Schizosaccharomyces pombe: one gene and its partner. The protein of the gene in region 2 interacts with the protein of the main gene of each other region in a biochemical or structural test. Each region holds a gene or a part of one and is shown on either strand. Other genes may lie near its edges.

Region 1 (3,576 bases), 3.7 Mb from region 2:
TAAATTGCTTTTAAACTTTCTGTTGCCCGATAAACACATCCCATCCTAGATTCTAAAATTATATACTAACTAAATTAACTCTGTGAGTATATGCTTAATTCTATATTTAAATTAAATGTTGCCAATAAATTACAAATATTTTGCTACTTCACGAAATGACAGGCAATCGCAATTACCAAATATAGCAGTCAGCAGCGCTTCCTTTTTATGTTAAGAATAATCATCCGAATAAATTTCAAGGCTTAATTATGAAGTCGCTAACAAAGGACTACTTTTACTCGTTCAACTATGCTTAAGAAAGCTCTAAATTTTTAAAAATAAGAATTAAAACGACCGTTAATTCTCTTATAAATGCAATTCCAGGTTCTAAAGAGAGGTTACATAACAAGCAGGAAAGAATGACTGATTATTTTTCACGAATTGTCTATTTTTTTTCGGCCGATAAGTTCATTACATGCTCGATTTGTCTTTGCAAAATATCTTTCCGCGATATATCAAAGCTATTAAGCTATTAAACAGTTCGTAAATACCTGAAAACAGTTTGTTCATATAAATATGTGCAATTCTTTATGCGAACCGCCATTAAACGATAAAGAATGCTGCGATAACAACCAAATCTCAATACCAAAAGTGTAAAGATTTTTAAAAAAAGCATTGTCTTCGTAGTTCTGTATTCTTTTATAAAACAAAAGACATAAATTTAACAGATACTTGAAATAAAAGAAATCATGTTTCAAATAAAGGTACTTGTTGTCATTAGTTTTCATTAATGTACATAATGTGTTATCTAAACTTGTCACTCTCAAGGCTGAATTCATTCGCATGAATTAACGACAAGTTTCTATAATTGAAGATAAATTCAAACAACCAAATTAACACATATCCGTTCCCATCAAAGTGAACGTTCATCTAGCTCTTGGTAATGTAGAACAAAAACAACAATTATTCACGAAGCCTGCTTTTCACTTATTGGTAGCAACATATCAAAGGGTGACAGTATAATACAGGCAAGCAGTCAATCAAAATTAATTTAGTCTCAATTACAATTGCCAAAAGTCCTGGAGAAAATTATGAGCGTTCGCCACGGAGACGACGAGCCAACTGCATATCCTTGGGTTGAATCGTAACACGTTTTCCGTGAATAGCACACAAGTTAGTGTCCTCAAATAGAGAGACAAGGTAGGCCTCAACAGCTTCTTGGAGAGCACCAATGGCAGAAGATTGGAAACGCAAGTCAGTCTTGAAATCTTGGGCGATTTCACGGACCAAACGTTGGAAAGGTAGCTTACGAATTAAAAGTTCAGTAGACTTTTGATAACGACGAATCTCACGAAGAGCGACAGTACCAGGACGATAACGATGAGGCTTCTTAACACCTCCGGTAGCGGGAGCGGCCTTACGAGCGGCCTTAGAGGCCAATTGCTTACGGGGTGCCTTACCACCGGTAGACTTACGAGCTGTTTGTTTAGTACGAGCCATTATATCAAGCTAGTAGAATGAATATCAAATAAAAAGACAATCGAGAAAAAAATAGCTGTTGTGCTACTTTTGCCAATTGTTGATCTTTAGAATTAATGGAAACGCAAGCGTACTGCAGATATTTGCTATATATATGTTTTGAATCCACCCGATCTCATCAAAAGCAGGGTTAGGGTTTTGATGCAGATTCAAAACAAATAGACAGCGTCGCCCCAACTTCCCTCTCTTCAGACAATCATTTCTTTTAATTGTTTTTGAATACGGATAAAATCCTTTGTCAATTTGCATTGACTTTTATCCTACCGTTAACATCTGTTGACATCTATAAATTCATTGTTCCTTTGTTAGTCAACGGAAAACCCCTTTATCTTTATTATACTTAAAGAATTACGCGTTTTTTTGCGTAGATTTTAATTTTTTCTACTTCTTAACATGTCTGGTCGTGGTAAAGGTGGTAAAGGTTTGGGAAAAGGTGGTGCTAAGCGTCACCGTAAAATTCTTCGTGACAACATTCAAGGTATTACTAAGCCTGCTATCCGTCGTCTTGCTCGTCGTGGTGGTGTGAAGCGTATTTCCGCTTTGGTTTATGAAGAGACTCGTGCTGTTCTCAAGCTCTTCTTAGAAAATGTTATTCGCGATGCCGTCACCTATACTGAGCATGCCAAGCGTAAGACTGTCACTTCTTTGGACGTTGTCTATTCTTTGAAGCGTCAAGGCCGTACCATTTATGGTTTCGGTGGTTAAACTCCTATTACATTGATTTTTTTCTCCTTGTTTGTATATCACTTTATTATTTACCACTTAATTCCTTTTTTACCCCTGTCTGCTATAAATGTTGTGCAATTGTTCGTGAAATTTGAATTATCTATCAATATAATTTTTGTGGATTATTACCTCTTTCTGCGACTTTCCCTTTTTCAGCAGTCTTATAAGTTCTGTTTTTAATTGGATTTGTTCTGCATATGTTTTTATGACTAGTTTCTTTTGTAGGTGATATTATTTTTTGCAAACAATGTCTTTGAATGTCACACTTTAATAAACTTAATTATCACGTTTCGCAAAATACTTCATTTTGTAGTCGAAAGTAGATACAAGTTGGTATGCAAAATGGTACAGTAATGTTTCCACTTCTACAAGATTATTTTTGTTGTTGTAAATTTACAGCGTTCATACATTTTGCGACTGCTTACTGATCATTGACATACCAAGCGTCAATTGGCTTCCTGATTCTACTAGCTGAAGTGCTAAAAAAAATTACTTCCTGTATTTTTATTCTACATTTGTATCAAAATAGATTTCAAAATACCTAACTAAATCGAAAATTTGAATTGTTGACTTACTCAATAACCTTTTGATAAACAGCATCAAATGGTGCTGTCATTCCAGTCCACAAATGAAAAGACGCAAGACCTTGACGAACTAAAGCTTCCAATCCGTTGCAACATTTCCATTCCAAGTCAGATGCAACAGCCATTAGAGGTGTATGCAAGGGCTTGTAAGCCATGTCAAGGAATACTCCACCATCGGCTTTGTTAGCAAGCAAAGCTTTAATAACAGATGCAACTTTTTCAGGAAGCTCAATATCTGCAGGAATTGTCGAGACGACCGCGGAAAGGGTAACACTAGATAATTCTTCAGAAGGAATATTGTCAGAATCTATTATATGGATGTTATAATCAGGAGGGAAAACGTCTTGAACACGATAAGAGTTGGCTAAAGTGCGGTTCAACAAATAAATTCGGGATACTCCCAAACGATGCAATGAGTAAATAGCAGCACGGCTAGTACCACCAGCTCCAATCACTAATCCATTAGTATCACGAAGAGAGACACCATCCAATGCATTTGCAAATGTATCGTATATGCCACGCCAATCAGTATTGTCACCTCGCAAAACAAGTTTGTCTCCAATTCTGATTGGAATTATAGTGTTTACAGCACCAAAAAATCTTGCCTCGTCACTGAGTTCATCCATGAACTTCATAACAGACAACTTATAGGGAATAGTAACGTTGGCGCCTCCGAAATCTGGTAAGTTTAACACCTTCTGCACTTCGTCAACTGTATCAGTTTCGAATGCCTCATAGGTATGTGGGA
Region 2 (4,058 bases):
ACGGAACAGTTATAATAATCTCTACAAAGTTACTTAGTATGTAAGTTTTTTTTGCAGAATATTAATGAGGTTGAAGATTTCTCATGAAACAAAATCGAATATGATGAGACAAAAAATGTTTTAATATAAACCCTGATCAAAGTTTTTCGTCTTCTGTTGTTACATTGGGGTCGATAAGTTCGCCGTTCTTTACCTCTTCATCACGTTTTGTAGCTTCAATTTCCGAACGCAATTGCTTATATTCTGGGCTATCATTCCCCACTATAGTTAGCCATTTTTATAAATGTTTGATTCAATTTACCTATTTTTATCCCAAAGTGGTTTTGTAGAATAAAACTGAAAGATTAGTATTTTTATTATTTTGAGGGATTGAATTCTCAGCGCTATATTCAAGCTTGGTTTTTTAATTTTTGAATTATACTTACAGCAGATGCAACACCTAATGTGCAAGCAAACAATAAACCCATGGGACCGCCACGACTCCTTCCGCTCATCATGGTGCACTGTAGTCGGAGAGTCCGAATCATAAACTGGGAAATAGAAAGCCATATTGGAAATTATATAATAGCGACTACAATCATCATAGGATTTACTGAGGAAATAACAAAACATGTACACTCATTTGTGATTTAAACAGTTAATAATTCTTATTTACTTATAAGTTTTGCTAGTCAAAGATATGTAATTTTTTATGTACAACAAAAACCCCACATAAAATGGTCAACTTTAAGAAAAAAAATAACCAAAAAAGTTCACTTCGACGTCCAAAATTTAAAATATAAGTACATATGTATAAGATTTTAGCAACGCATACCATGAAAAAGAAAGGAATATTAAAAAAATGCGAACGCCGTTCAATTTTTTAGTATGCAAAAACCATAATTAGTATTTTTGACGGACCCAATTGAGGAGAGAAGTTGCAGATGTAACTGTAGATTTAGAGCGAATCGAGTCTTCGGCCTGCTGGAACTGCATTGTTTTAACAGGGTCAATAAGCCTAAATATTTGCTTAAGACGACTTCTCATAAGCGTCTCAGTCTCTGTTAACGGCGATGACAAGTTCTTTTTGTGTAAAAGTTGATGAATTAAATAATGCAGCCATAAAACGTTTGTAATGGGAAAAAACTGCGCCCATCTTCCTTTTGTCACTCTAGACATTAACCTATATATATCAAATTGGTAGTCATCTACACCGTTAAACAGATCGGGGTCGTTAAATTCATTGTAACTAATTATACCCTGAGAATACGATGCTCGGGCTAATGTAAAATCAATCAGCGTAACTTGAAGTATGTTGTCAAAATCATCAGCCTTATCTTGTGAGCCGGGAAAATCGACACTTTCAATGTCGTCAAGCGATATTTCATTTAAAAGAAACGAAACTTCCTCTTCACTCCGATCAGCTTTCCGAATAAGAATGTTTCCCCAATGTAAATCTCTATGCTCAAACTCATAACGAGTTTCAACTAAAGAAAGAATTTTTAATGTTTCATAAAAAACCGACCAGCACTCTCGCCAACTACGGAGCTCAAAATGTTCCAGATCTGTTCCTGAATGATCAAGACATAAAACACAATAAAGTTGCGTTGATGAATAGCTATCTGGTCGATCGTTCTCAGAACCATTTTGCATAAGATACCGATCCCATTCTTCTAATAAAAGTGAAGGATAAGTACCTTTAACGACAACTACTTGATGAAGGTTTGCAAAACCGTCGACTTTTATCCATTGGCTAATCTGTACTTCATTTAGGACATCAGCATATTGAGCTTGTCCGTCTTCTCCAAACGGGATAACTTTCCAAACAACGGGAACGTCATCAGCATTGCTGGCTTGGTATACTTCACTATAACTTGCTTCGCCAATTTTTTGGATCTCAAAAGTCTGAGACTTAACAAATTGACTGAATGGAAGAGCGTCTTCTTGCGCTACTATTTGGAGGAGCCGATGAAGTGGATCTAATTTGGAATTATTTGCGGGTTTTCCGGATAAAGCAACAGAAGATGACAAATTTACAACCTCTTTTTTACTGACTACCGACTTTGATGCATTATCCCGAGGAGAAGCCGGTATTATGACAGTAGGTACCAGGTTTTGATTTCGTTTCGCCAATAACTCATTTTCTTTGTATGAACCTTTTTTTAAGAGAATGTTCCAAGATAATAATGAATCTTTTTTCGGTTTAGAGTGAATATGCTCAAGGTCACTTCTTTCTTGGTTATTAAAATTTTCAATGTTCCGAGGTTTCAAAGCACAAGGCCGTTCATCTAAAGAAGCCCAAATTTCAATATCTTTATTAATATATCTACGGTTCTTTCCATAAGTTTTAACTTTTGAACGACTTTCCATATCTTTTCCTACATTTGTAAATATTGAGGTAGTAAGGTACGGAGGTGAGATGGAGAAGGCATGATGTCCGGGCTTAGTGATATGTTTAAAAAAGCATTCTGGACAAAATAAAAAATGCACAAAAAAACTTAATTACATTTTTCTTTAATTGCTTCTGTTAATTTAGCCAGCTTATCCTCCAATTGGGCAATTTTCCAGTCTCGGATTGCGAGTTCTTCCTCATATCGTTTCTCAAAACCTTCGAAACGTTTATTGAGATCGGCCAGATTGACTGCTGAAATATCTTTCTTATCTTTTGAAACATAAAAGGGTTCTTTCTCTTCAACTTTCTTACTTTCGGCAAGAGGAGCAGCTTTGGGTGCTTCGTCAGAAACTTCCAATTTCTTTTCCTCTGATGGTTCTTTCTTTACATCTTCTGAAAAGGTAACAGGGCTACTAGCTGGTTTCGGAAAAGATTTTTCAACAGGTGTTTTCTCACGCTTGGGCTGGGTTACAGTTTCTTCTTTCTGATGATTATCCTCATCACGTTTCTTCGATGGTTCTTCTACTTTTGATGCCGAAGGAGTAGTTGGTTTCACCTCCGGCTCTTTGGAAGGCTTTTGTTCTTCCGCCGATTCTTTCGGCTTGCTAACTGGCTGAGCTTCGGGCTTTGGTGTCTCAACCTTCTCTTCGTTATGTTTTTGTACCTGAGCACCAGCTGAGGGTACTGTAGCGGAAACAGCCTTTTCAACAGTACCTTTAGACTCATACAAAGTAGACATATCTAAAAGATCAGGCTGAGCATCTTTCCCACTGGCCCATTCTTCAGCTGTTAAGCTTGGTTTACCAGATGGGGCTGGAGGGTAAATATCGCTTTGGAAACTTTCAGATCGGCGAGGAACGATGAAACTTATAGGTTCAATGATAGAATCGTTCACGGACTTATAAGCACGCATAACTTCGTTTTCAGAAACATTAACTCCGCGTTTTGGCAAAAAGGCAATGCCTCGTTGGGGATCAACGGACTTGAATTCAGATAAATAATGGAAAACATCGTTTTCATATTCGTAATAGCGAATATTACCATCACCTTTACCTGCTAGATATATTACCTTTGTTCCATCATCCCAGAATGGCATAAGGATTCCCGAACCGGTGTCTAATGTGGTAAAACCACCTATCGGTTCAGACAGATTGGTAGGGTCCCATAAAGCGATTTGACGATCACTCATTTTACTGAAACCAGTTGTAGCAAAACGATCAAGGCTCCCGAGCCAAACGACACGGGGATTTTTAGCACCTGCATGACCATTTCCAACGGAGACTGGTTTATCAGTACGAGGGTCCCAGACGCGAACTTTCTTATCTCGAGAAGTTGTTACAAGTCTGGTACCATCAGCGTTGAACGACATAGACTGGCACATTACATCCATTTTCAGAGATACATGGGCTACACCCTTCTCACAATCCCACAACTTGATAGTATTGTCTGCACTAGAAGATGCCAAAACATTCGCTGCAGTGGGATGATATTGAACAAGACCAACTTTACTATACAAAAAAGTCAGTAACTAAAACCCTAATGCAATGTACGACATACCGGCTATGGCCCTTTAATTCAGCAATTGGATGAACATCTTCATAAGGCTCCATAACAGTATAATCTTCTGGTACTTTCCATATCATAATCTAATTCGTTAATACATAAATAAAGTCAAATAGCAGGATAC

The links.
Region 1: of the proteins of hrk1 (region 2) and hht1, one has a biochemical effect on the other in vitro, tested with the Schizosaccharomyces pombe proteins (one study listed by BioGRID).

What each region holds. Positions count from the first base shown.
Region 1 is NC_003424.3:4,697,732-4,701,307, reverse strand, and holds hht1 (histone H3 h3.1), read right to left. Parts: upstream 1,577-3,576; 5' UTR 1,480-1,576; coding exon 1,069-1,479; 3' UTR 748-1,068; downstream 1-747. Other genes in the region: hhf1 (histone H4 h4.1), read left to right, coding at 1,912-2,223; multifunctional aromatic polypeptide Aro1, read right to left, coding at 2,816-3,576. UniProt on the Schizosaccharomyces pombe protein: Core component of nucleosome. Nucleosomes wrap and compact DNA into chromatin, limiting DNA accessibility to the cellular machineries which require DNA as a template.
Region 2 is NC_003424.3:1,032,587-1,036,644, reverse strand, and holds hrk1 (haspin-like kinase Hrk1), read right to left. Parts: upstream 2,350-4,058; coding exon 883-2,349; 3' UTR 653-882; downstream 1-652. Other genes in the region: SPOM_SPAC23C4.04C (uncharacterized protein), read right to left, coding at 137-248, 302-612; coronin Crn1, read right to left, coding at 2,478-3,879, 3,929-4,017. UniProt on the Schizosaccharomyces pombe protein: Serine/threonine haspin-like protein kinase involved in cell cycle regulation. Acts in chromosomal passenger complex (CPC) targeting to centromeres by phosphorylating histone H3 at 'Thr3' (H3T3ph).